Rhinolophus ferrumequinum: one gene and its partners. The protein of the gene in region 1 interacts with the protein of each later gene in a biochemical or structural test. Links are inferred from orthologs where the notes say so. Each region holds a gene or a part of one and is shown in the gene's direction. Other genes may lie near its edges. The genes, in order: KIT, SH2B3, LYN and MPDZ.

Region 1 (7,004 bases):
TCTCTCTTCTTTCTCTGCAAAACTCATGAGTGCAGCATCTGTATTTTGTTGAACTTCGCATTGCCAGCAATTATTGTAGCACCTCTGGCACATAGGTAATGTTCAATAAATACTGAATGAAAGCTTGAACTGAGAGCATGCTTCATCTTCTTTCAGCCTCACAAACTGTGAGGTGGTTATTGTTAGTATTGAGTCTAGCAATAAGGATCATATATTCATTTATCCCACTTTATGGACAAGTGACAACACCTAGCCAGTTCTAATGGTTATTGGAAAAACAGAAACTATTAAGTAGTAAACTTGAAAAGGATTATACCCTTGGTGTAGTAATTTTACCTCTAGGAATCTATCCTAAGAAAATAATCAGAGGCAAGAGATTTTTATTCACCAAGATATTCATCACCAAGTAATTTGTGTAGGGAAAAAAACCGAAAACAATAGAGAAATGATTAAACATCCAGAATTATGGTACATATATACAACTGAACATTATACTGCCATTATATGTTATTTTTCCAGAAAATTTTTAATGACTGCTTACTCGTATGTTATGATTAATGAAAAAGCTGGATAGAAAACTAGCAAATATTATAAAATCTGAAATTATATAAAGGGAAAAAAAACCTTAGAATACGTAGGAAAAAAATTTGAAAGAAACACACCAAAATGAACTTTTCAGCTAATTATATATTGGGTGATTTTGTTTTGGTTCATTCTTATCATTTTGTGTATTTTCTAAAGTTTTTACCATAAGCATCTTTACTTTTATAATCAGAAATATGAAAAATTTTCAAGTTAGAGGTTTGGGCTGTGTGAGACTAGAGTGAATATCTTTTGTTGTATTTGTCCAGCATCATTCCTCCTTCTTACAGTGACAGTACCTAAATTTTTGGTGAGGACACACCCCTCCTCATTAAGAATGGCCTTGTGATGTGGGTGAAGTGGACCCCAACCCTGGCTCCAGGGGTGCGCATGTGACCCAGCAGAGGCCAATCCTCATATGCCATCTGGCTTCAGTAACTGGTTCCAGATGGTCATGTGACTTAAAATAAGTCAGTACTTTTATAGATGTTCACGAGGGCAGAACAGCTCAATGAGCTGTAAGCCTAGAGCTGCCTGAGTGTTCACAAATACAGGGAAGCAACACAGGAAAGTACTGCTGACGGATGGAGATAGAGAAAAATGCACGTATACACACACACACACACACACACCACCACCACCACCACCACCACCATCACCACCACCACCACCACCACCACCACCACCACCATCACCACCACCACCACCATCACCACCACCACTTTTGAGTCCTTATGACTTTCAGTTTTTGGATCTGGGAAAGTCTGCCTGGACTTTTCAGTTGTAAAAGCCAATAAATTTTAGGTTTCTTTGTTTGCTTAAGTCAATTTAAGCTGGGTTTCTACAACTTGCAGTCAAAAATACAATTATAAATACAATAAAAAATGTAAAGTATAATTCATGAAAGGGTCCAGGGCTATCACAAAATAGAGTACAGAACCGGTCCCATACATCCTGAGATATAAAACATTTCCATCATTGTAAGTATTTCTGTTGGACATGTTCTAAGATATTTCATTCTGAAAACAGTTCATTCCTAGTCTCTTCTAGATGCCTCCTTATAGTACATTAGCTGGCAGGGGGTATGAACCATAAAGGCGCAGAGACTGGAGATCTCTGCTCTGCCCAGTATTAAACCTTTAATTGCTGGATCTGATGAGAAAAAAAAAAAAAAAGAAAGGGGTTGGATTTAGGCAGCATTTAGATATTTAGGGGAGTGGCAGCTTTTTTCCCCAATGAGTGCAGAAGGATTTCAACATTCTACCAATCAATATGGCCAACGTGGTGTGTACTGGCTGCACATGAGCTCTGGTAGAAGATATTATAGTTTCTTATTTGGGTATGTTTTATTCCCCCAGGACTATGAATCCCTCTAGACAGGGACTTTGTCTTAATTGATTTTTTGTAGGTCTTGTGCCTACCTAGGTGCTCAATAGATGTTTGTTGAATGGTGAATATGAATGACGGTCCAGCATTGTAAAATTCCCTATTCTGGTATTTTTCCTAATAGAATTTTCCTGCTTAGAATTAAATTGCAATATGGTCTCTTTTCACCCACTCTTCTGAAGACTTGTTATCCTTTCCAATCTCAGTTGATTGAAGGAGAAAATTGTAAATTTTCTCTAAGGCATATTGTTGGTATTTTAACCCATAGTGATTTTTTCTCACTACAAAATGGATTTTAGAAATAAATCAAGATCCCAGAAACTCATGATTGCTTTGAGTGGTAGCTTTTACCTCTGTCATCCTAAGAAAAAGATACGGTCCAATGGCCCAAAACACAAACAGAGAACTTTGAATTTTAGCTGTACAACTTGAACCATTTGCTAGGATACTGGGGTGTGGTTCTCCCACTTGACTGTAAAGATTGTGGTAGGGCCCACATCTGTCTATTAACAATAGTGCCTCTTTGTTCCCAGTAGACACCTAAATGCTTGTTGAATGAATAAACAAATTTAGACAAGCAATCATACACATTGATCGAGTAGTGACAATTTTTAAGTTGTTTGTTTAGCTTTGAAAATCATTTTTCTTAAACCAGCTTAGGTCCTATATCAACATCAGACAGGAGAGATTTCAATATTAAATAAAGTGTGTGTGTGTGGGGGGGGTAGTTACAAATTTTGGATGCTATTGTAGAGAAGAGTCTAAGTATATCTAAATTATTCCATCACTTTCTGATGGGCAACCCCCCTCTTCCCATTTAGTTTCCATCCTGAAGCTCTCTGAAGGGGTGTTTTACTGTGTTATTAGAATGCATAGGGAAAGCTCATCATACCTCGAATTATTCTTAAAATGACTGGGTCTCCTCTGTTAGCTGTTAGCTATTTCTAAAAGTGATCGAACCACTTTTAGAAATAAAATAATAAACGTATCTGCTCTACCTACCTCACAAAACTGTTATTGTGAGCATGAAATAATATTCAGTGTAAGAAGGAACTATAAAACTCTATACAGATAGTACTGTTACCTTGGGTAAAGCACTTCCTAGGCAGTGGCACCTGGCTTAAGAGAATCATTTTACTATTATTTTGCTCCCTTAGAGCTGCCTTAGCTGTAAGGCAGCTAAGAGGAACCCTCGGATCCCCACCCCTATAACTGTCGTCTGATAGAGAGGCAGAGAAACCATACAGGGAAAGGGGGGAAAAAAAAAAGGCGCCCAAAGGGTTTTAGCACGACTGTGGATCCCGGAGCAAACTTCGCAAGGCGCCCCTCCCCACTCCAAAGCCCCAGTCTCTAGAAGTCTCAGCAGGAGCTTGTTGGGCTGAGGCCACTCTGACGAATAGAAACCAACTGTGCTGTTACAGGTTAGGGAGCAGGTGGAGAAATCGAGCATAAAGAATTACCTACGCCCTGGCTGAGCCTTTTACCGCTGTGCCAGGCGCCGCGCCTGGTCTCCCTCGACTAACAGGAATGGAAAAGAATATCGGGCTCTAATTCCTAACCCCCTTTCCACTGCGCCCCAATTCCTGTCCCGGCACCACGTCCACCACCTGCGGCGTCCAGCCTCTTCCCTCGCGGGCGTGCTCGAGGAGAGAGCGGCGGACCTTTATTATCTGGGGAGCACCTGCCAGGTGGCGGGCCCGTGTCCTAATGTGCGCGTGGTGCCCAGCTTCACAAAGCGCGCGGGCAGCACCACCCTCGTCCGGGAACGGCTTCTGGTAGACCGATCACATCACAGGGGACGAGAGGTGGAGAGGGGCTCCGGTTTTGAAAGCGGGCAGCAAAGGCTGGCACGCCCTCCTTCTCCCCGTGGGTTTAACCCCCACGGGATTACCAGGTCGAAAGAGCAAGGGCCAAACGCCGCAGGGAGGGAGCGAGGGAGGGAGGGGAGGCGAGGAGGGGCGCCGAGAAGGGGCGTGGCCGGCGCTCAGAGGGAGGGCGCTGGGAGGAGGGGCTGCTGCTCCGCGCTCGCGGCTCTGGGGGCTCGGCTTTGCCGCGCTCGGTGCACTTGGGCGAGAGCTGGAACCTGGAACGGAGCTCCGATCCCAGAGCAGCCACCGCGATGAGAGGCGCTCGCGGCGCCTGGGATTTTCTCTGCGTCCTGCTTCTCCTGCTCGGCCTCCAGACAGGTGGGAGAGCGCGGCGGACACCGGGTTCGCGCCCCCTGCCGCTGCCTGTGCCCCTGAGGGCTGCAGCTCTCTGGGGTGTGTCCGGAGAGGTGGCCGCCGGCCCACAGTGCCCCTGCGTTTCAGCCTCCTGGCAGATCGAGGCGTCCCGGGGACTCTCCTGCGCCCAGCCTCGCTCACCTGCGGGAGGATCCCCCAGTCGCTGGTGCTAGGGGCGCTGAGCTGGGGTCTCCCAGGCAAGAGGGCAACGAGTGGGGTTAGGCTTGAGCTAGGTGCAGGCTGAGGGCGCGGGCTGCTTGCAAGTTTGGGGTTGCTTTTGTGCGAAGAGTGCGCAGGGGCAGAGGCGGGCGAGTCCCGGGTTTGCACCCCGAGCGTTATCTCCGCGGTGCGTGGCGCGGCCGCTTCTTCCTTTTGTTAAAAGTTGCGCTTGTGTGACCGGCGCACTGGAGGACTGGCCCGCAGGTTCTCAGTCACGCCGAGGGCAAAGTTGGAGAGCTTTTTTTTTAGCTCTGCGGCTGCTGCTTTCCAACCTGGCGCTCTTTGTGCCCCAGAGCTGGGGACCGACCCACTGCCGCCTCTGCTCGTGGCGCCACCCGTGGACACAAGTCGAAGGCCGCGGCGTCCCCCAGCCCACGGGTTATGCTTTTGCACCGGGTGTCCGCCGAGTGCGATTCTGATGTGGCGGCTGCAGAGGTAACTTGGGCGCCAGGGCGTGTGGAAAGCAGCCGCTAGGTTGCAGACTTTTTGCTTTTGTAAATCTCGTGCTGGAGGCTTATCCTTTTCTGCCGCGGTGCTGTTTCTTTCCTGCCACGCGCCTCGGTGCTGCCGGAGGCTGCGTTTGCAGCCTGTTCTTGGGAGAGACAGGGACGGTGCGTTGGGACACTGAGGTCCCTGACCCCGGCCGTCTGCAGCGCTCAGCCGGAGAGCCCGGCCAGGCTGGCGGGGCTCTGCAAGCCCCTCGAATCGGGGTCTGCGACCTGTAATCGCAGGTCCCTGTTTTCTTTGGGAATTCTGAGATTCACAACACCCCCTTCCACGTGATAGCTATACTTAAGGGCCGCCTGAGATGGAGGTGGGGATGGGGTAGGTGGGAGATGGAGTGGAACTTTCTGCAAATCCTCCTGGGATCTTAAAGCTGTTGTGAAAATCCGGTTATATCTGCGCGGGAACTTAGGTGTTAATGTTGAGGAGGAGGATTTCTGGAAGCCCTCAGTCAGATTCCTTTCCCTTCTTCCCTTTTTTCTGGGTGTTGCTGGTGCGTGAACCATTGCAGGTGGCCCAACCAACCCCTGTACTGCTCTCTCCCAGGTCACTGAAAAAAACCCAAAAAACCTTTAAGGCTACCCTGATGATGGCTAGAAAGTGAGTTTGAACTGGAATTCAGGGGTTCCAAAGGCAGCAAGCATCGCAGTGAACTATAGTGGGACTCTGGACTACCGTTCAGTTTTCCCATGAAGTCTCAAGATGCAGCCTCCGTCTTCCAGGTCTTGTAAGGCATTGTGAGGGCTTTCCTGTGGGGGAAGAGAGGCCTTGCATCTGGACCCCTTTGTGGTAGGAAGGATCACCAGTGAGTGGATTCCGTGATGGATTTGATCGCCTAAGCTTCAAATGATAGGTTTGGTCCTTAGGTCTTTGTGCTGTGGCAGTTTTAATTTCAGTTAAGGTATGTGAACCGGACGCAGTAGGGCACTAGAAAGATAAACCACACAGAATGGTTCTCTTTGTAAAAATTAAATGAATCAGTTGCTTCCTTCTTCCTCATAATTAGCCTGCTCCATCCAATAGATTTTTTGGCAAAGGGAATTTTACCGTCTGGCTTCTGGGGGAGGGAGGCGCAGTATGGTGTAGTGAGAAAGCCTCTGTGCTGCCCTCTGGTTTTTCTTTTCTCAATGATTTATTGGCTGTGTGCCCTTGGGCAGGTCGCTTAAATTCTGGGGGGCCCAGTATCCTCAAGAGGACAGTGAGGCATCTTCATTGTGAAGGATCCTTTGGGTCCAAAATTCTCCTCTTCCAGTGTTCTGAGTGTAGGCTGTACACTTCTTCTGAACTCTTTACCTGATTCCTTTCTACCTCCTTGAAATTCCTCTGCCTCTCCTAGTCACAGGGTCCAACCACTTGGTCATATCCTATTGATCTACCCCCGGCTAAAGCAGGGATGTGTGGCTTGTGCTTTCCTGTCCTCAGTCCACATGTGCTCACCTACAGTTTCACTCTGAGGGCTAGGAGGTACCATCTTGGCAGCAACTCCCCCTCCAGTATTTACAACGCCTGTGCTCAGCTGGATGAACCTGCAGGGAGCAGTGAATCATAACCTTCCCCTTGTTCCTGCAGGTGTGAGGCTAGCGTCATTCCCAGCAGCTGGACACATTCTGGATTATTATCCTGCTGGAAATAATATGATGGTCTTATAAAGGGATCCCAGATAAGTCATTTATCCCCATTCTGGCCTTTCCCACTCATCCACACGTTTGTTCTTACGACTTTATAAATCATGTATGCTGTGCCCTTGCAATATGTTTTTCTAGGCGCCTGAAATTTCACATTATGTGTGTGTTGTACATAGTTGTTGCTCTTTCATTGGAAACTGTGTGCATGGCCCTGTGCTGGGACCATTACCTGACATTTCCCGTTCTCTCAACAAGCATCAGAGGCAGTACTGTCACCATCCCTATCGGTTTTTTTTTTCCCCCTATCGTTTTTATAGCTGGAAGAACTGGCTGAGAACAAGTCAGTTCCCAGAATAATCAGCAGTGAAGCCTGAGGTTGGTCCCATGTGCCCAACTGTATATCTATTGACACGACTTACCAGAATCAGTTGTAAAGTGAGATTCATTTGAAACTATTTAATGAATA
Region 2 (7,172 bases), on another chromosome or scaffold:
CACTCACTGGCTGGGTGACCTTGGGCTACAGTCTTTACTCTCAAGCCTCAGTGTCCTCATGTGGACACTGGGTGTGAGGGTGTGAGGGTGTATCATCCACAGGGGCAAGTCTCTGTGGCCACCACTCTTCACAGCCCTTTCGGGATGTACTACTCTCACACCGATTATAGATTACGCCGACATTCTTTATTGAGCATGTGTTATGTAGAAGAGCCACCCAAACTCCCAAGCCCTTAATGTAAGGTTTCTCATCAAATTCTCCCCTGGAACACAGTGAGGTCAGCCCTGTGATTGTCCCCATTTTACAGATGAGGAAACCGAGGCCCAAATAGTTCATTGACCACATAGCCGAGAGAAGGCTGAACAAAATTCTAAATCTGTCTGGGTGACCCCAGAACCTTCATTCTTAATTAAGAGCCCCCTCAGACAACGGCATCCTGTTGTCTCCCCACCTTGATGTGGGGAGAGACTCGGACCAGGGCTAATGACTTAACTTTTCAGTGCCTCAGTTTCCTCATCATAAAAAGGGGACAGCAATAACAGTAACGGTTCCTACCCCAGGGCTGTCATGAGAATTAAATGAGTTAACATATGTAAAATGTCCAGAACTGTGCTGTCCAGTACAGTAACCACTGGCTACATGTGGCTATTTAAATTTTAGTTGATTAACATTAAATAAAGTTATGAAGTCCGTTACTCAGTGACACTAGCCACATTTCCAGAGCTCAGAAGTCCCGTATGGCTAGTGGTGGCCATATTGGACATGAGAGAACATTTCCATTGTCACAGAAAGTCTCATTTGTCAGCACTGCTTTAGTGGAATGCTTGGCATCAAGCAAGTCTCAAAAACTATTAATCATATTATTATTAAGCCTAGCTCTGTTAACTGTTATAATTATACTGTTATTATATCTGTTACTGTTAATCCTGTCCTAGCCTATTATTATTTTTATATTTATTATTAATCCTGTAACTATTAAGTGCTGTTATTGTTAACTATGATTATATTATTATAATATTACATTTATTAATATTATTACTAACCTATTGCTATATTATTATTAATCCTGTAAGCCTTAGCTTCTATTATTACTATTATTCCTAGACCTGTGAACGGTGTTATTTATTATGACTACTAATATCCTATTGCTGTTTTATATTTGCTATTAATCCTGTCATAGTTAATTGTAGCTATTATTATTCATTAGACCTGTTAACCATCGTTCCATTATTATAATTTTATCAACCCATTTATGATTAATCTTGTACCACTTAACTTTCATTTTGTTATGGTTATTATTGTCAATTGTTAACATTACTATTAATGGTATTAATAAGTATTTCTTGATATTGTTGTCAACTATTTTGTTATTAACCCTGAGAGTGTCTGGCCCCTGGAACTTGGCAGACAGCAGGTGCTTTCACCCATTGGAAGGAAAGGTGGTGGGTCCTCCTCAGCTCAGACCGCCTTGCTTGTTTCCGGGGAATTCAAACCTTTTTCTCTTTTGGGGCCCCAGTGACCTGCGGAGTGGGAGGAGCCAGCCTCTCCTCAGAGAAGATGAAATTGGTGCTCTGAGCCATGATGCTGTCAAATCTAGGGCAAGGCAAGGCAAGGCGATGGAAGGGGATTCCTTGTAAACCCTTTGCCTTTCTAAGGAAAAACAAAAACAAAAAGTGAGAAGTCTCGATCGCGGAGAGCGTCGAAACCAGAAACTGGGCCCTGAAGGGGATGCTGGTGAGAAGAAATTAAGTGAGAAAGAAAACCACTTTGGGCCTCAGAGAAATCTGGCGAGAGAGGAGGCTTTCGCAGTGATTAAAAAGGGGAAGAACCACAACTCTCCGTTTAAGTCAGCAGAACTGCCGTCTGGGCAGTGAGAGGGAAAGTGCCTGTGGCTGGCAGATTTCAGCAACCATTTGACAACTGCTGTGTACCAGGCTGCTCTGTTGGCAACACTGGGCAGCTTTTTGACTGCAGGCAAGTAACTGCTCTCTCTGGCCCTCGGTCTCCCCAAGTGTAATAAAACTATAATAATATAGGGTGATCAGTTTAAGCTCCTGATACTTCCCCCACCCATTGTCCCACATCGTCAGATGGGGGGTGAACATCACTGGGGCACCTCCTAATGGGTTGCCAACTGCAGACTTTCCAGCTAGAATTCAAGAGTCCAGAGTTCAACAGGTCCTTCGGCTCAAAACCCTCCATCGCTCCCTGTTGCTCTCAGAGAATTCCCAAGCTTGTCACCAGGACCTTCCAGTCTCCATTTGATGAGACGGCTTTTCCAACTTCATCTCTTCCTGTCTATCAGTCTAGGTATCACCACTGCCTTTTTTTTTTTTTTTTTTTTTTTTTAAGGAGGGCGCAGCTCACAGTGGCCCATGCAGGGATCGAACTGGCAACCTTGGTGCTACCAGCACCACGTTCTAACCAACTGACCTAACTGGCCACCCCACCACTGCTTTCTTGATTTTCCTCGATCACACCAAGCTTATTCCCACCTCAGGACCTTTGCACTGCTGTTCCTTTGGCCTGGAATGCCCTTCCTTCAAACCTTATCATGCCTGGATCCTTCTTGCTGTGGGGTGGGGCAGAGGGGTGGTTTCAGCTCCAATGTTAGCTCTTCAGAGAGGTCCTCCCTGAGCCTCCAGTCTAAGACAGCCTCTTCTCCGTCCTGTAACTGTTTTGTCATCTTTGTAATACATTATCCCATTCGTTTATTTATGTCCTCTGTCCCCCCACCAGAATGTCAGCTCCATGAGGACAGGGATATTTTTCTTGTTTACTGCTGTGTCCCCAGCACCTAGAACAGTGCCTGGCACACAGTAGGTATTTAATACAGATTTTTGGAAAGCACAGAGTTATGTCCAGTTCCTTCAAGGTTATGGGTCTCCAAGGATCCTACAGCAGACTAGCACCTCTTCCCCCATCTGGGTGGAGTCTGGAAATCCCCACCTTCCGGGGAACCCCTTTCTGTAGCTCCAAGGGCAGGACTAGGCTGGATTGTTTCATAAACACTCATGTAGCAGTGTTCTCTTCAGGCAAGTCCCATGCTAACTGCTTTAATGCATTAACTCATTTAATCCTGGCAGGAACCCAGTGGAGTGAGTACTTTTATCATTTCCATTTCAGAGATGAGGGAACTGAGATGCGGAGAAGTCCAAATGACTTACTAGTCACTTACCCAAGGCTAGTAAGGGGCAGAAGCAGCGGAATGGAGGAGTATGCTGTCAAGGAAGGGGTGATGTGGCCCCTGCAAGCTGGGGGCGTGAGCGACTTGTTTCATGTGTGGGAGGAAAGGAAGAGGAGACATTTTTCCTCTCTCCTCCCTCCCATGTGTTGGGGGAAGGGCTGGCTGAGCGTATGCTCCATCTCAGACTAGGGGGAACCCCACTGTCAACCTCACCCCACGTAAGGTCATAGAGAAAATGAAAGTATTCCGGGGGAGAGGAGAGAGGCAGGCCCACGGGGCATGGGAGTCAGCGGTCCGGGAGAGCTTCCCGGAGAAAGATGCACTCTTGGAGTAGGGTGACGGGTGATCTGTAGATAGGATAGAAGCCGGCTTGTATGGGCACGCGCTGAGGCAAAGAGCTGAGCTGACGGTGGGAACGGAATCTGAATGGGGACGCTGGGATCGTGGCGGGTCGACTCAACAGTGTTGTGGATACTCGGGGCTGGGCGGTGTTGGGATCCTTCCCTGGGTGATGATGAAAGCCGCTGGCGCTATTGCACGGACCCGCCGGACGCGCACAGATAAGGCCCAGCAGGAGGGAGTCGGCAGGGGCGCGCCCCCTAGAGGCCAGGCGGCTCGGCCCGGCCCCGCCCTCAGGCTCCGCCTTTCCAACATCTGGCTCCGCCCCGGCAGCGCTGAGGTACTTGGTGGTCTGCGAGCGCTAGGTGGGTGGGGCCAAAGTTGTCCAGCCCCTCCGGCCATTCATTCCCTTCTTTAGGCTGCATGAAGAGAAACCGGGTGGGCAAAATGTGGGCGTGGTTTAACAAAGCCCCGCCTCTCGTCGGGTTCGCGTTTGAGACCCTAGGACCTGGTCAGCCGCGGAGGAGCAGGGTTGTTGGGCGGGGCCATGAAAGCCCCGCCCCCTCCGACTGAGTGGCTCGTGGTAAAATAGGGGTGTGGCCTCGTGTGGCCCCGCCCCCATGGCCGTCCTCCCCCGCCAGGCTCCGCTAGCATAGCCGGTTCCTCTTTACATAACGGCGCGGGGCGGAATGGGCTCGGGCCACCGCCTCCGCCCGGCCGCCTGCCCGGACTATCGCGGCCCGCGGTGGGGACGGCGGCCGCAGCAGCAAAGTTTCCCCGGTGGCGGCCCGGGGGCGCATCCTCCCGCAACTGTCAAGCGCTGGCGGCGGAAATGATGAGACGCTGGCCATTTTCCGAGCCCGGGTTTCCTGCCTGAGCCCCGCTCGAGCGAGCCGCGAGCCAGCAGCCGGCGCGCAGGAGAGAACGCGCCCGGGGCGGGGGCCCGCCCGCCCCCTCGGGATTTCGGGGGCCCGGAGGCGCGCGACGCCATGGGCCGGCCCGGCCCGGACCCCCTCTCTCTCAGGTAAGCCCGCCTTTCCCGGCGCTTCCCTCCTGTGGGGCTTAGAGGGCTTTAATGGGGGAAGAGGAGGCCCATGTCTAGTTCTGCCCAGTGTCTGCGCACTCCCACAACAGCCTAAAATGTTGCCCTGCAGGTAACTCGGGTGGCGTGTTCTGGTGTGACCCTTCTCCAGATCCTGCGACGCCCCCACCCACACACGTGTTGGAGATGTAACGGGGGGAGTTGAGGCAGTGGGGGAGGCGCTGAGAGAGGGTATGGCTAACACCCCCAGTCCACCTCTTAAAGCACCTGGAGGGCAGCATTTCCCCTCAACTTGTGCCCGGTAAGGAAGGGTCAGGGGTCACCACTTGGTACCTTGAAAGTGAAAGTAATCAAACTGAGGTTGTGAGAACGAAGAGCCCCTCCAGCCGCCGCTCCCTACCCCCTCTCCCAGGTCAGGCCATGTGGCCAAGAGGACAGCGCTGGATTTGGGAAGTCCCTCTCCCCACTCCCTGCATTGTAGGGGTGGGCAGGGTCAGGTGCCCCCATGCCATAGAATTTGGTTCGCAAGGGTTAGGCGGTCCCAGAGCCCAAGTCTCTTTGGGCTGGTACCCTCACAAGTAGGAGCTGGGGCTACAAGGGTATCCTCCCACCAAAAAAGAGGAGTGGAGTGGAGTGCATTGGATTTATAGGTTAGCAGACCTGGGAGGGTATTTCAGAGGTCTTCAATGCCTGGCGAAGAAATCCCCTCCACCCCTCCCCTCTTTGGCCGCCGGGGCTTTTGGAATGATGGGGACTGCATTTGAGGAACTGGGGGGGGGGGGGGCCTGCCGGCCTGTCCCACTTCTTTATTTCATTAGTTTCCTCATTCTCCTGTTTCTCTTCCCCATTCCCGCGGCCACGATGATGTAGGTGAGGAGGTCATTGCTTGCAGCTGGGGGCCTCCAGGGTGGGGCATGCCCAGGACAGACTGAGTGGAAGGAAGTGAAATTGGGGTTCTGGCTGGGGGCTTCAGGCCGAGAGCTTCAGAGCAGAGGACCTGTCAAGGCGATGTCTGCAGGGCCAAGGTCCAGCTTTGGGGCAGGAGGGGCTGAGATCTGACCTGTAACCCCCTTGCTCATCTGGGAGGTGAGCATCCCCTGACACCAGCCAGCTGCCAGGCTCAGGTGGGGCCGCTAGCTCATTCTGGCTCCCCATTAGTCCAGTCTTGGGGCCCCTGCCAGCAGTGGGCGTGTGGGTCTCCAGGATTGTGGGCGAGAGTTGTGTCTGGATTTCCCATCACTGACCTGGCTGCCAGAGCAGAAACAGCTCTGGCGGCTCCCGGGAGCCTGTGGGGGCCAGAGACACAGGCCTAATGCAGGGAGAGCAGGCAGAGGCCGCCTGGGCGGGCTGGGGTCAGTGGATTAGAGGCCAGGGCCCATCGGGGAAGTTGGAAGGGTTTTTAATACACTTTTTCTGAGCCTTTTCCCACAACCCCCCCCTGGGAGGGAAAATCCTTCTGAGCCAAAGGGTGAACATTCCTAGAACTTGTGTGAGTCCCTGTGGGCCACAGAGGCTGCAGGCTGGGAAGGGGCTGGACTGCAGTATCAGCTGTTGGGGTCTATTTCTAGCCAAGGGTGGGGGCAAGTGCCACTCATAAACCTCAGTTTCCCATTATGTTAAATGGGGTAATAACAGATTTGTGGTAGAGACTTAATGAGCCAGAGTGTGAGAAGCACCTGCTGCCTGGCAGAGAAAGGGTTATTTACATGGAGGTGGTGATTCTGTCATTGCCATCGTTAGTGTTACTGGCTGTGGAATGTTCACCAGTGGCACCTTGAGCACCTCCTGCATGTTGGGCTCTGAGGCTTCCTGAGTCTTGGGGAGAAGAATTCTGAAGAGCCAGTCAGGATGAGCTCATGGTGTTTTCTGGCTATGAGACCTTGCTTATCCACCCAGTCTCAGTTTCCTCATATGTCAAATGTGTGATAATAGTACCACTTCTTAGGGTCGTTGGAACCATAAATGAGTGAATTCACCAAGTGTTTGAGCAGCGAGATCAGGAGGAGGAGGAGGAGTAATGAGATTGTTGTTACCCTGTCGTGGATGTTAGTTCTGCTTGTTTTCCTCCCTGGTCCCCTCACCCCCACCGCCATTCTTCTGAACCCTGGGCATGACCCTTCTCTGATAGAGAGAACTTTCTAATACACATCAACTTCTGGTGGTAGCCTGGGCCCAGCAGGCACTGGGTAGCCCTGCAGCAGTTCAGCCCATGGGGCCCCTTGGATGTCTGGGGCCTCTTGTGCCAGCCCAGGTCACCCTCTACATCCTGGATGGAACCTTTCCAAGGGGGTGGGGCTGAAGGCACTTAGAGGGACCTCCCGCTGCTAGTCCTCGGCCTCACCCCCCTACACACACATTGAGTGTCAGAGACAGGGCACATAAAGCACTTAGTGCTGGGCCTGGCACTTTAATTATTATTATTATTATTAAATGAGCGGCCTTTCCTGTTAAGTTCCCACTTCTCCCTGGTAACATCATGGGCTTTGAAGCCACATATGGTCCCTGCCAGCTTCTGGCTGTAAGGCCTCTGGGCAAGTTACCTGACTTCCCTGGGTCTACCCTGCCCATGGAGGGCCCCAAATCCCGGCCTCGCCAGGGTATAT
Region 3 (7,277 bases), on another chromosome or scaffold:
CTAAATATATGAGGTTCTAGATACCTTCAGAGCAGCTAGAAAACAGATTTGGCACCTCTAGAATTAGAACTGGGGGCAGGGCAGATACTAAGGTCCTGAGACCAGCTTGATTTGAGGGTCTGGGCATCCTCACTGAAGATCAGAAGGTAGGGAAGGAGGAGGATGTGGCACTAGGGCCTCCTTCCTCAGAAAGGAAACAGAAATGAAGTCAGAATCAATTCTCCCTCTTACCTGCTAGACACTCCCCAGTAGGCCCCAGAACCCCCAATCTGACTACATGAGACAATATTTTTATGCATAGTTTTACATTGTGGTCTAATTACCATGTAGCACCATTTTGTGTATCATTGAAGGACAAATTAACTTTGCTATAAATTTGATAAGATTCCAATGCTAATTATGTTATGGGAGCTATTACCATTATAATTTGGCTCAGTTTTTAACATTTCTCGTTCAGGTAGCATGGATGTTCCTTTATAACGTGAAAGTATTGAGAAGGCCCTGGCCTACATTTAGCCCTGTTTGCTTTCAGGCGCTAAATGTGTGCTGTTTCTGTGATGTACCGGGCTGAGAAGCCCCAACTTTGTAGAAGGTGTTGCAAACTAAGGGGACAAGCTCCAGCTTTGATGTCAGTCAGTCAGACAGAAAGGGGTTCAAATCCAGCGGGAGCCACTTCAGCAAGGTGAATTTGAGAAAGTTCCCTACCCCTTTGGAGACCATTTTCATGTCTATCAAATGTAGAAAATAAAACCTGGTTGGTGTGAGGATTGACTAGAGGCTTTAACATAACACGACCTGTCCAGTTTCTGGGAGGTAGTTCTGACAGAAAGCTTCAGAAACCAGCCTCTTCCCAAGGAACTCTGGATGAACCAACACTCTTGCTTCCCTCTGTGAAACACCGCTCTATCCCTCCAGCAAAATGAACCCTCTCCTCTTGGCAACACTTACATACTTTTCCAAAAGTCAGTGGTTTTCATGTCAATTTGTGCCTGCTACTACAAATAGGCAATTTAATTAAATAGAAACTTAAAAAATATGAGTGAAGATGTTATTGCTATGCAAACTAAGTTGAATATTTGAAAGCAGTCACAGGTAAATAATGGTAAAAGCAAATAATTCTGCTGCATTAGGTGTGGGTAAGGTAGCTGAGAAGGTAAGAGACTGAGTGAGTGACACGGCTTTGCCGGCTTTTCTTCTGCTTCCACAAAGGTATAATTAGAAATCAGAGATGAGTTTTCATGGGTGTCTTTTAGGTAAGAAAGGTGACACAGAAACACCAAGCAGGGGTCTCATACTCAGAGGAAACACCCTGGCATTACACAACAGATTGGCAGTAATTGAATATACTTTAGGTTAAAATACAAGTAAAATGTCTAAAGCACATTTATATCATTTTTATGATTTCCCCCACTTTAAACAATGGTTTTGATTCATCGGGCCCAAGTGTGTCAGATGAGAGTCTTTCTAGTGTATTTTATTGGAATGCTGGTGATGGGTAGAAACCCATTTGTTTGGCAAACATGTCCCATATTCTCCCAGGATGTTTGGTTGGGATGCTTTCATAGTGGCTCCCAATCCTGGCTGCTTATTGGAACCATCCAGGGAGCTTGATTATTGGGTCCCATTTTCTCCCACCCCACCAACTTTGATTTAATTATCTGGGTCGGACCTGGGCAGGTGAGTCTCATGTGCCACTGCTCTGTATTATGTGCTACTTGGGCCTCAAGAACCAGGTCTGCAGCCATGTTTGTAAGAGTCAGATGGAGAGTCTTATCCTCCACTCTTCCCCTTCCTGCAAGGCCAACCAGGAGGCTTGTGCAGACAATCCAAAAGAGTCCCTGTGTTGGACTGAGGAGTCTGAAACCCGGAAAGGCAGCTCCCAGAAGAGTGGAAGGGGCACCAGGGACAGTCCATAGCTAAGCAGTAGGATGGGCTGCAGATCAGACGGCAGGGGGGGTAGGCTGGTGTGAAAGTGTGCACCAGGAGTGACCAGTCTCGGCTGCAAGTGCCATGGTCAGGGGTGTGGTGATGAAAGCCTGTGTTGAAGGAGAATTTCCTTGAGGTCAGAGATTTCATGTCTCTTCCAGTGAATGATGGTATGTTCTTATCACAGTCAATTCTCATTATTTGCCGTAGTTATGATCTATAAAGTTACCACAAACAATGAATTAGCTAACATCGAAACATTGTTCCTGGGACGAATACAGGGTTGGGTTGCTGTGAGTCTCTCTGGTCACCATATTTACATCAACTGATGTATAGATGACCTTGTTTTATGTGTGAATCTCCTGAAAGACACCTTATTTAATATATATTGTTGACTCACTAACATTGAACTCACAGCCAACAGCACCATAACTCACACCTGAACGAAGCTTCTCTAACACACGTATTTCCTCCACAAGACACATCAAAGCCTTCTTGCTCTTAGGACACTAGACAGCACTTCAGCACTACACTTGAGGGTAGTGAAACATTGAAATCAAAAACAAAAAGCACAGAAATGAAAAACCAAGGCACTACACAGACCACACAAAAGATGCATGTTTATAGTATTAGAGCTAAAACAGAAGGCAGGGCATCGCCTTGTTTGACGTTGGCTGGGAGTGTGAACGCAGAGAGATTCAAATTTTTACTGCTGTGCTCACGTCCACAAATGACTATGAAGTGCTGTGAGTACTGGTTTTGGGGTTACAGATACATTTTAGTGAGTAGGTAAATTTGCAAATGCGGAATCTGAATCTGAAAAAACTAAGAATGGATTGTACGTAGTTGAAGCCATTTTCACTCCTCCTTCCTTCTGTCCTCCTTGCTTACATCCCTCACCTTCTGCAAAGCCTGCTTCCCCTGTCAAGGGGTCTTTGTTGATTTGCAACCTGCCTCTGATCATTCCATTCTGTGCTCAATTCTCAATAGAGAAGACTGTTGAGACAACTCAGTCCATCAATCAAGAACCAATCCATCAATGCTAACGAAGTATTTTAAAGCACCTAAGAAGACTTTTGAGGGATACAATGGGAAAAGGGTAAATGTAAGAAGCAATGCCTTCCAAAGAGGGATTTACTATTTACCAGTAGTTGAGAGAAAGTTAACATGTGAAACCAAGGTAGACAATGCTAAAAAGTACCTAAGTCTGGTTTAAAATGACTGTTTCCCACTGTAAGCGCTCTAGATAAATTAAGTGACGAACTTAGCTAGGATGCTTTTGTGTGAGGACTTAGAAATGGTGATGAGTGAAAGCCCAGCTCTGCCTGATGATGCTTTGTTCCTTACTCCAGGAGACATTTTACCAAAAACCACAGGTTATTCCAGATGGATTAACCAACACCAAATATTTTGTTTCCCATTCTTTATTGCCAACATACCTTTAGCAGGATCTTAAGGACTCACTGGTAATAGTAAATATTTAATTTAGGGCCAATGTACTTGAGAGGTCAACCTGATGAAAAGTCCAGGAAATGGGACTTAGGCAGTGAATTACTCCATAGAATCTGTGACAGATTTCACTCACACAATCAACACCTTCCAACAGGCAACCTACTCCCTCCTCTTCAGCAGGAAACTAACCACTACAGACCCATACCAGTGAACATCACAGGTATAAACTACCTTGCTTTTTATTTTTTTTTTCATTTAAGGCAGTAGTTTGCAAACCTTCTATTCTCTTACCAGTAACAAATGACTGATTTATGGGATTTTGTTTCAAGGTGGCTGATCTCACTGCTGGACTGTGGCTGTAGCCTCCTCAGGTGGGGCCAGCCTCTTAAGAACATTGTTAATAAAAGGTAATTGGTCTGAAGTGCTTAGCGCTGTATCCGGCACCCAAGAGTCCCCATGTAAGTGTTTGCTATTATTAACACAAAGACCACATCTTCTACAGGGTTCTGTTTATTTCCTTGTAAATTCCACAGTGTAGTGCAATGCTGGGATCCCAGTGAACAGAATCTTGCTTAGAACAAGTGCGCATCCACGGTGACTGAGACTAATATTATGCCTTGGATTTATAAGTGTCATTTACTGACTTGGAATACACACTTGAAGACGCAGTCATTCTTTCAACAAACACTGTGTTTGGCACCTGTCATGTGCCAAACACAGTGTTACATGTGGAGATGTGGAGATAGTAGGAATAAAAAGTTAGCAACCATTAATGTGTGCTAGACACAGCGTGAGCCCATCCTCCCGGTAACCCTGCGAGGTAGGCATCCATTTTCCCAGGAGGAAATCTAAGTTTTGAGGAACTGAGTAGTTGCCAAGCCATTTAACTCAGGAGCCCCCTGCCTCCCATCAATACTCTGAACACCACCGTGTACACCCTTAAGGAGCTTACTCTGTACTCATTAAGAACTCAATGAAGCACCAACTCAACACATCTCATCCTACCTTTAAAGAACTCCAAAAGTTGGGGGATCAGAGCACGCCACCTCTCCTGTCAGGGACACCCCACTTCCTAATACCTTGAGAACTAGGTTGGAAGGGAAGGAAAGAAGAAGCAAGATGTTTCGTCTGTGCCAAGACTCCAGAGGGTCTCACTGGAAGATCCTTCTGTCGTCTCTACAACAGAATGTTGGGCCCGAGGCAGCTCCGCTCACTGGGACGCCAGGTTTCTTTGCCTTCAAAGCTCCGCGCGACGGCCACACGAAAGATCCAAACCTTGGGCAGGGTCCAAACGGTCACTTCCCCGCCCCCTGGGCGCAGTATGCAAATCCGAGCACCAGGAAGTAGCTGGGACCTCTCGGCCGAGCCCAGCGACAGCCAGTTCCTCTCCCGCCGCGCCCGGCCGCCCGCCGCTCGTTCTCGGCCGTGGCGCCTCCGGGACCGACGCGCTGCAGCCTCCAGCTCGTGTCAGGCGGGGCGGCCGCGTCACCCCGGGCCCCTAGCCTGCAGACCCCCGCCGCTCGTCCTCGGTTCCCAGCCCGCAGCCCCACTCTACGCGAGCCCTGCTGGGCCGCCCCGTCGCGCCCCGGGCTCTGAACTCAAGTCACCGTGGAGCGCCGCCGCCGCCGCCCCCTTCGCCCCGCTACTTTCACCGCGAGCTGGTGAGTCTCAAGCACCAAGAGCGCGGGCTCCAGGGCGGACCGGGCGGGGTCCGCCTCTGTGCCACTGGCTGGAGTCTCGGGCGTGAGGCAGGCCCTGGGCCAGGGGCCGGGGGTCGGCGCGGACCGCGGGAACGTGGGACGCACGCCCCTTCCTGCCAGTCCTGGCGCTCGGCCGGGCGGTGAGGGCACCCAGATGCCTTCAGCCTGTGGGTGACCGGGCCAGGAGGGGCGAGGACGCGGGGGCGAGCAGCTCAGCAGGTGTCTCCTCCAGGGAGCCGCGCAGGGGTGTGGTGGAAGAGCGGGCGCGCGGGCGGACACACCTCGAGGCCCTCTGGCGCAGACCCGAGGGCCGCATGCTGTCCCCACTCGGCCACTCCCAGAGCGTCACAGGGAAGCCCCTCTCCACGCAGAGTGGGCGCGGCAGGGATTCTGGCCGGGACCCTGGTGGGGATTCCTCGGGTTGCACAATCTGGGCTTCCCGTTGGGCCCAGGTCCCCAGAGGCGAGGGGTGGGGCTCGGTCGCGGCCCTCTTCCAGACCCGCGGGCAGTTGCCCTCCTCCAGAGCCCCGGCAGCAGCGTGACGTCGAGGGGGTGCGGTGGAGGCTGGTGCGCACCCTCCCGCTGAGCCAGGCGCCTCTCGGCCTGCAGAGCAGCAGTCCCGTGCCTCGGTCCGCCTGGAGGAAGCGAGAGTTATTTTAAGAATTCAGGGGTTGCCTTTCTTTTGCCTTGGGGGAAGGGTGTAAGCGTCACTTCCCACTGTCCTGCGTTATCTTGGCCTCCTGTGATGGCTTCTAGATGCTGTACAGCCAGCGTGGTTCTGTGGTCATGTCTCCAACGTGTGTTTGTGTTTTACCCCAAATCCACCCAACTACTTTGCCGTCTCAGAAACCCGAGTGGAATGGAGGCCTTACAATTTCCCACCTGAGTGTGAACCTGGGCTTGTGGTTGAAATACCCTTTTTGAGTTTCCTCATCTTTGGGAGAACCTGTCTACCTCCTGTGCTATTTGTTGTAGTTATTTAATGAATGGCGCTGTTATTTATTGCAAATAATTCTTTCCATAAAAAAAAAAAAAACAAGGCTCCCTGGTTCTTTGCAATTTGATGATTTTAAACCTAAGACTATCTGTCTGATTTAGCCACCTGTCCTTATTAATAAATCTGCTTAATAAATATACCAGAGTTTTGCTGTCCCAAAGCAGGGCCCAGGAGTCTGGCTCACCCTAAGACTAGCCAATAAGGATGTCTGACTTACTTGTGATTTATTGGCTGCCCTCAGCTGGCTGTAGGGTTCAGGAAGACAGGCAACACCTAAAGTAGTGCCACCGGGAGTAGGCACCGACAGAATACAGGCAGTTCTTAAGTACTCAAAGTCCTTCCAGTAAGTGAGCTCTGCTGGCAAATGGTGGGATTCAGGTAATCCCTGGTTTTCACTTGGAGGTAAAGAAGTAAATGTCTTAAGACTTGAAGAACTTTAACTTGATCACAAGAGGCTTTTGGTGATAGGGCCTTTTTAAATGCACAGTGGGACAACCCTGTTCCTGAGGAAAGGTTAGAAGGCCCCAAAGTAAGGGAAGAGAACACAGAAGCCAGGAAACCTGAGGTAGGGTCTGTTCTACCATTTACCAGAGCTATGATTTGGGATAAGTTACTTGGGCCATTTATTTAGCCAACGTTTCCTTCATAGAAGTAATCAGAGTTATATTATGAATTGCTAGCGTGTGTATACTACAATGAAAGCTCCATGATTACAGCTTTGTCTGTCTTGTCTGAAATGCTAGCCCCGGAGCCTCTCACATAGTTGAGATTACTTGGAAGAACGAATGAAGTATGGCCCTATGCAAGGCAGAAGGAACAGGCCTGGTTCCTAAGGCATTTGAAGCCTACCGGTCCTCTGTCCTGGTTTCTAAAGCGGGGATTTGAGGGACTTTTTGGACTGTTAAGTTATCTCAGAGCCAGCTCTAAGTGGGAAACTCCACTCAGGACTGGTTACTCTGCTGTATTACCTGGAGAAGGGGCTTGATTTGGAGTATAAGATATAGCCTGCAAAAGTAGTTTGGCAACCCAAAAGACCCACTTTATCTTAGAGTCATTGGTGTAGCAAAGATATGTGGAGAATTTGTATTCTTTTAGTAGAAAAGTAGTCCAGCAGTTTTGCACATCAATGATTTTCAAAGACTTTTAGTTCCACTATATTTGTATTCAAAAATAAATCACCAAAACATCTGAGATGCGAGTTG
Region 4 (7,258 bases), on another chromosome or scaffold:
ATGCGTTTGCATTGTTTTAGTTGCAAGTACAGAAAACCCAATTCAAACTAGTTTAAGAACGAAAGGAGATTTATTGGCTCATATAAACGGAAATACATGGGATGGGGTGGGCTTCAGGTAATGTGTGATCCAGTGACATAATGGTAGTCTCAAAAACTCAGTTTTTTTCCTCTATTCCTTTTGCCATCACAAAGTAGGAGCATTAGCAAAAAGATACTGTGCAAGTTAGAGTTCTTTTCATTATCATTAGTGTTTTTTTCTTGGTTTTTGCTTGGATAACTGACATGTACCCTCATAGTATGCGTGACCCAGAAGAAAAATTTTGTAGGAGAAAGATTCCAAAATGTCATTCTAGCTTGCCTTAACTTGAATAGAGATTCCTAAAGTGTTTGGATGTGTTCCACCCAAAAAATAACCTGGTCCCAATGCTTTCTCCCAGGATTTCCTCACTGCACCAGAATGCTGTGTATACAAAAGCAAATGAATTCAAGGTCAGATGGTCATGACCTCCCAGTGACTTTTCTTTCTCCCTTAGAGAGATGAGACCCAATTAGATACACTGTAGCTTTCAGTGCCTCTATTCCTCTATAAACAGTTTTTTATATGAATAGACAGATAACCCTACATATTTTCAAAAGATATATAATTTTTACATTTTCCTCATGCCTAAGATTCTTTCTTAGCCATTCCCTCTTCCTACTAGTTTTCTCCTACGTGTAGACACGCTCGTATATATGTTCATTATCCTAACATTCTCCTTTCTTCTGCTTTTTAAAAAATCTTCTGTTTTCAACGGATAAAAAAAGTTAAAGATTGTTTAAAATGGTCTATTTTTGTCTAACATTGAAAGAAATGAAAAACTGCAAAAAAGTATCTAAACTCTTTTATTTGAGAAACTAGAGGCCAATTGAAGCCTTTGTTTCAGTCAGCCAGTAGACAAAACATAAAAATCTCTCTGCAAACTATAATAATCAGAACTGCATATTTGCTATATATTAGATAATTTGTAGTCAGAGGGAAATCTAAACATGCCATCTAGTTTGCCCTTACATGAAGCATTAGTAATAAAAGGCACAGCTGGTTAAAGGTACAGAAATAGTCTACTGTCTCACAATTAGAATTCCCCCAAAGTCAGTCTTTGGGAAAGGATTTGGTTCACACAAAATGCTGATCCTGGGGCTCTGGTAAAACCAGTGAGGGACTGCCTGTCATCCACACCTAGGTGAACTGTTGTTAGGAGAGCAGCACAAAGACTGTGTGCTTGGGAGGCAGCTAAAATGGATCAAAATGGAATTTCCTGCATCCATCTTTCAAGCAAATATTAAAGGTTTTGAGTAGACAACTTGGGCCTTCCACCAGTTTCAGAGTTGTAGAGGAGCAACACATGTAAACTAATATTATGTATTTAATTTATGTTTATACTTGTTAAGTTATAGTAAAAATAATTTAAATCAATTTTGGAAGTCCCCATTTATCCTTACAAAAAGGGTCTGAACATTACTCAACTTTGAGAAAAACAAGTTGCTGTGGAGAATGTCTCACTGAGGATAGAGCTGGAATGCAGACAGCATTCCTAATTCCTTCATCTTCAGATTCCGGAGGCTGTGATTGACACGAAATAGAAAGAACTATTAATTGATATTAAATGAAGTGACTTTCAACAGAGAATGACAGTTCTATTTTATCTGCTTTAGACTTTGGCTTTCTCAGTAACATTTTACTTCAACTTTTAAAATGTTTTTCAATAGTGCTGTGCATCACATTGCCTTGTTCCTTCTCGAAAATCTCGGGCCTTCTGGGTTAGAACAAGTAGAAGTGGCTAGCTAGAGCACTAACTATATGGGTTAACTTCAAAGGGGAAGCTCTTGGGTAGAATATGCTCAAGCGCTGGATAATTTTATGGAAGAACTAATGTAAACTAATGTCCTATGATATACCACTGCTTAAAGTGCACGTGTAGGATTCCTTACGCTAAATGAGATCTGGAGAATATTCTCATTTATATACTTGCAATAAACCAGAGAGTTCAATTCCTTAAACTTGCCTCTAATTCAGTATTGTGAACTATTTCCCTATGTTTCAATGGAACAAATGTCATTTTACCTTTTAAGACCCTGATAACATCTTCAGTAGCTAGTTATGGAATTGTTCTCCGCCTGTACTTTTCCTACCAGCTAGCATTCCATGCCCTTATTTCCTTTGCATTTGAGAATGACCAGATTGGAAAATGACAAATGGAAGTGCTTTGCTATTCAAGGAAGTAGGAATGCTTTGGAATTTCTAAGCAGTAAGATAATGCTCTCCAAAAGGGATGACTTGAGATGACTCTATGGCAAGAACACAAGGTCATGTGGAAAAATCGTTCACTCTTGCGCACATATATATATCTGATGTCCTTTAAATACTAATTGGGTGTAAAAGTCTTTCTAGGCTCTGAGGATGAAATGGTGACTTGGTCATCGCTTTTGTGGACTTTATGATCAAAGGCGGAAGAGAAACTGCATAAGTAATTACAAAACCAAATATACAATTAGAAAGTAGGATGAATGCTATGAAGCAAAAGTATAGGGCACAATGAGAATGGATCACAGTGGGTTTATCTTAACTTGTGGGAATCATGGAGTAATGTCCATTCACTGGTAGTGCCGTTCACTGAGACACTGAACAGTGAAAGATGACCAGATCTGAGCAGAAATATCATGGTTCCATTTTGGATAATCTAGGTTTGAGACAGGCAAACAGGGAAGTCAAATAAATACTCAGATGTATGGAGGAGTGTGGATCGAAGATAAAAATTTGGAAATCCTTGACCAATAGATGATAAGCTAGACGTGAAGATGAACTCAGGGATGAATTAAAAAGAAAAGAGCGCCTGTTACTGGGTCTATCACAGCCTTTAAAGATTTGGGAGAGGAGGCTGGTTGGGAAAGAGATTGAAGAGTGTGTGGACTGATGACAGGCAGATCTACCTCAAAGCTAACGAAGCTTAAGATTCTGGGTCCTTCTCTTGCCTGGGAGAAGCCCTAGCAAAATGTTTACAGAGTCACATATTTGTGCAAAACTTTCAAAAGATATATATATATATATATATATATATATATATATATATATATATACATACATATATATAATTTTTTTTTCTTAAAGCAGAGCCCCACATTGTATAAGCTTCAGGTCCCACACATCTTCCCCTAGCTAACAAGCAGGAGCAAAAGTAAGAGTGTGATTGCAGCGGGGGCAGGTTGAGGGGGGTGGACTTCAGAAGAAAATATTCAACTAACCATTACTAATGCATCTGAGAGGACAAGAAATATGTGAGGAACATTTCCATTGGATTTAGGTAGTGGGAGTTCATAGGTGTCCCCAGGAAGTTATCTTTTCAGTGTGGTGAATGAGGTAGGAAGTCAGATGCAGTTGGTTGATTTTAAGAACTTGACCTGTGAAGGAGAGGGGAGAAAGAGTGGTAGCAGAAAAGAGCTGGACTCTGGTGGAAGGTTTTTCTTCTTCTCTCTCTTCTCTCTCCTCTCTCTCCCTCTCTCTCTCCTCTCTCTCTCTCTCTCTCTCTCTCTGTCTCTTATTCTCTCTCTCCCAAAACTTGATTTTAAGTGCTTTGCTATTCAGAGGAGTAATGCTTTGGAATTTCTAAGCAATAACAGAATCCTCCCCAAATGGCCTCGAGATAACGCTATGGCAAGAACACAGAACTTATGTAGACAAAATGTCCTTAAGGAGGAGACTGAGAATGTTGATTGATAGAAATGTATTAAAGATACAAGGGAACAGATCAGCTGGGATGAGTTTTACCTTCATCCTAACTGCACTTTCATTTTCAAAGGACCCAGAGGAGATGGATATCCATAGACTCGGAGGAAATTTAGGTGTTTTTACTTTCCCAGTGGGCAAATCTACACTGACCATATGTTTGTGAAAGCAAAAGGGGCTTTGGGCTGATGGCACTCTCCACCCAGGGCAGTGCGTTCATTTTACTCAATTCCCAATCATTTGCAGGAAATGATCTATTTTCCAGCTTTCTGAAAACAACCTCTTTTATTTGACACTCACATTTCACGGGGCGCCCTGCATTATTTCTGGCAACCTCACCGAGCTCGTTCCCTACATCCCAGGCCTAGCGCCCTAGGAGCTAGTTTAAAACCCAGGACCGCTGGTCAGGCGGCGCCCCTGATTGGCCGAGGCGCGCCCGCCCCGCCGGCTGCAGGCGTCACGCAGCCCCGGCCGCCGCGGCCCGCCGCCTCCTCGGTCGCCGCTTCCTCCGCAGCCCGGGTCGGCGCAAGTGCGGCGCGCGCTGGGGGAGGGGGCGCGGCGGAGCGCGAGGCTGGCGTCGGGCCGCCGGCGGCCGTGCGGGATTAAGTTTCGCGGTCCCGCGTGAGTGTGCGCGTTTGTCCCGAAGCTCCTCGCCGGGCCGTTACTTCAGAAGAGAAGAGAGAGAGCGTGGGCGAGGAGAAGCACCCCGAGTCCCCGGAGACCCCAGCTCCCCAGCCCTCCGCCCCTTTTCCGTCTCTGCCCGGGGCGGCCGCCGCGAGCCGGGTAAGCGGCGCCGGGAGGCCGGGGCGCGTCCCCGCGCCTGTGCGCGCGCCGGCCGGGGGTGCGCGGGTGCCCGGGGCTTGGCGGGCGGGGTGCGCTCGCCCCACCCCACGAGGCCCGGGAAGCCGCTGCTTCTCTGGCTCTTTAAAAGGATGGGGTCTGGAAGTTTCTTTCCTATGCTACTCGCATCGCCCCTGAGCGAAAATCCCAGATCTTTCGGCCCTTTCCCCCCCAAATCCTCGCTCTTGCCTACTTGAAATGGTTTAAAAGTTTTTTATTTCTTCTTTTGCTTCGTTTGGAGGGGCACAATGCCAAGGGGGGACCCCGGGCCTGGCGCGCGGGCCGGTTGCTGTCCACCGCTGTGGCCGCCCCGCATGCGGGACACCCGGTCCCCCGTTACGCGGTGCGGGGCTGTGCGGGGTGGGTAAGGGGTGGGTAGAAATGCCCCCCACACTGGTGTCTCCCGCCTCGGCGGCGGGGAACCCAGAGCGCGCCGCTAATTGGTACGCCATCCCCCACCCCCACCGTGGCGCCCGTACCTTTTTATCTGCTGCCGGGGTTGGTACGAGCATTTTGCTCTCGCCTCCCCCTTCACCTCTCCTGTCCCCGTGCCCCCGCCCCGCGACGTTGAGGCGCTTTTGTCTGCGATTTCGCAGCCCGGGGATGCCGGATGTTCCTGGGGAAGCACTGTTCGGGAGACGCTTTGTGTGTGGGGGAGTGTGTGTGTCAGTGATGGTGATGGTGTACATTTTTGCCTGCGTTCTTTGCAGAGGCACAAAGGCCGGCTATTCTTTCCTGCAGATCACTTGGAAATTGAAGCTGGCACTGCGGAGTGGAGGAGGGGCCAGGCCCGGGCGGGAGGTGGCCGCCGCCGGGGGGCCGAGTTGGGGTTGGCGGGTTGTCTCCATCCATCTCCCAGGGTGGGGCTGCGGAGGCTACTCGGCTGGAGAAGAAGCTGGGCACGAGCACCATGTGCCTTGAGTGGGGAGGTGCGGGTGGCGACTAGGGTTTCATCGGTATCATCAGATAAGAGGACCGTGACTTCACCAAGCTAGGAGGAAACCTTTCCATGTTCTTTTGATGTCGAGAGGAAAGAATCTGAAAAGTGGTCTATCATCCAACTTTGGTGGACAGCTGTGGTGTAACCATCCCTTTTGTGTTTCCGCAGGCATTCCTCATTTAGGCTACAATTTACAGAATAAATAACACCTGATACCAGAAACTAAGGTGGTGATAGTTTGGGAATTTTTACGTGTTGAGTTGGGATGTGGGTGACTGCAATGAACTTTTGGTAAGGGTCAAAACATCTAAATTTGTGTATGTGCTTTTAGCGCCTGGTGGAATTTAGGTTAACGATTGCATTTTGAAAACAACAAAACTTGAAAATCCTTGGCTTGAATTTCGAATGCAAAGCAAAGCTCTAGATGCCTACGCCTGTGCCCATGCCTGAGAGTGGGGAGGTAGAGGGCAGTGGGGATAACCTTGTGTGGGATGCCCAGGTACGCTGCTTGCTAATGTGCTGGTTAACAAATGGGCGGGTCTAGACTGGGCTCTATCCCTGTAGAGTTATCCCTGTTCACATTAGGGTCCTTTAAAGCGGAGGTCTGTAAATTTAAGGACTATGGGTCAAATCTGCCTGCTGCAGTCAGTTGGCTGTCCCCCGTAAGGTTTAGGAGCTAGGAATGGTTTGTACATTTTTAAATGGTTGAAAAAAAAGCAAATCAAAAGAATATTTCATATAATATTTCAAAATTATACGAAAATCAAATCTCAGTGTCCGTAGTAAAGTTTTACAGCCACATGGATTCCTGCTGTTTGTGTCTCATTCTTAGCCTGTATGGCTTTCACAGCTACAGTGGCAGAGTTGAATAATGGCATAGTTTAGAGAGATGTAGACCCTTCAAAGTATAAAATATTTACTGTGTTACCCTGTATAGAGAAAGTTGCCAACCATGGCCAGGCTTTTAAAGTACTGCTTAAATATTCCCTTTGGTCGTGGGTGCATTCTTAACTAATTTCATTGCCTTTCAAGTCCTGTTTCAGTGCCCCCTGAAGTGGCAGACTTTTCTCCAATAGGCAGAATAAGTTAGTGTGTCAGATTTTCTTATTTCCAAGTTTCACTCTCAAAAATTTTTCTTAACCATTTGGTATCTTTTTCTGTTAGACTCTAGAATAAAGTAGGGTTTGTGATTAGCAGAAATTATGCACTTAGTTATTCTAAGTTTAATGTAGTCATATTTCAAGGTATTCTTCAGTGAATTCTAGTAACTTCTAGCTGTTCTGTTACCTGAGTAGATTTGAAAATTACAGTTTTGTTTATTTAGGTAGAGAGAGGCGGGGGTTAGGACACGTCATAGGTTTCTTTGCACAGGCAAGTTATCATTTAGACAAAGGTAATTTTGCGGGGGGGTCCCCTGGACTCTTCCCCACTCCTCTTTCCTACCTCATTTGCTGAAATAAACAAAAAACTGATGAAGTTTATCTCAACCTATTACTAATAGATCTATCATATTTGTACCACACCTCTTAAATGTGTTCCTTTTCTTTCTTTGGTTGGCTCCTTTCAGTATTTCTTATCCCCTCTGGTGTCTGTTTTTTTTTTTTTTTTTTTTTTCCCCTCCCTTTATCTCCTTTACCTGACTGTTCTGGCCTGGGAAGAGAGAGGTGTCAGTCACAATTTTTTGTGTGCGCCAAATTCCTATCATGCAGACATTGC

Evidence for each region.
Region 2: the proteins of KIT (region 1) and SH2B3 form a complex in vitro, tested with the Homo sapiens proteins (2 studies listed by BioGRID and IntAct, with this or other methods). The link is inferred for Rhinolophus ferrumequinum from reciprocal best matches to the Homo sapiens genes KIT and SH2B3.
Region 3: the proteins of KIT (region 1) and LYN form a complex in vitro, tested with the Homo sapiens proteins (2 studies listed by BioGRID and IntAct, with this or other methods). The link is inferred for Rhinolophus ferrumequinum from reciprocal best matches to the Homo sapiens genes KIT and LYN.
Region 4: the proteins of KIT (region 1) and MPDZ form a complex in vitro, tested with the Homo sapiens proteins (2 studies listed by BioGRID and IntAct, with this or other methods). The link is inferred for Rhinolophus ferrumequinum from reciprocal best matches to the Homo sapiens genes KIT and MPDZ.

What each region holds. Positions count from the first base shown.
Region 1 is NC_046288.1:16,906,702-16,913,705, forward strand, and holds the start of KIT (mast/stem cell growth factor receptor Kit), read left to right. Parts: upstream 1-4,002; 5' UTR 4,003-4,087; coding exon 4,088-4,154; intron 4,155-4,589; exon of another isoform or gene 4,590-4,844; intron 4,845-7,004. UniProt on the Homo sapiens protein: Tyrosine-protein kinase that acts as a cell-surface receptor for the cytokine KITLG/SCF and plays an essential role in the regulation of cell survival and proliferation, hematopoiesis, stem cell maintenance, gametogenesis, mast cell development, migration and function, and in melanogenesis.
Region 2 is NC_046308.1:6,770,719-6,777,890, forward strand, and holds the start of SH2B3 (SH2B adapter protein 3), read left to right. Parts: upstream 1-4,165; 5' UTR 4,166-4,551; intron 4,552-7,172. UniProt on the Homo sapiens protein: Links T-cell receptor activation signal to phospholipase C-gamma-1, GRB2 and phosphatidylinositol 3-kinase.
Region 3 is NC_046297.1:22,212,478-22,219,754, reverse strand, and holds the start of LYN (tyrosine-protein kinase Lyn), read left to right. Parts: upstream 1-4,268; 5' UTR 4,269-4,564; coding exon 4,565-5,039; intron 5,040-7,277. UniProt on the Homo sapiens protein: Non-receptor tyrosine-protein kinase that transmits signals from cell surface receptors and plays an important role in the regulation of innate and adaptive immune responses, hematopoiesis, responses to growth factors and cytokines, integrin signaling, but also responses to DNA damage and genotoxic agents.
Region 4 is NC_046295.1:25,013,268-25,020,525, forward strand, and holds the start of MPDZ (multiple PDZ domain protein), read left to right. Parts: upstream 1-4,253; 5' UTR 4,254-4,545; intron 4,546-7,258. UniProt on the Homo sapiens protein: Member of the NMDAR signaling complex that may play a role in control of AMPAR potentiation and synaptic plasticity in excitatory synapses. Promotes clustering of HT2RC at the cell surface.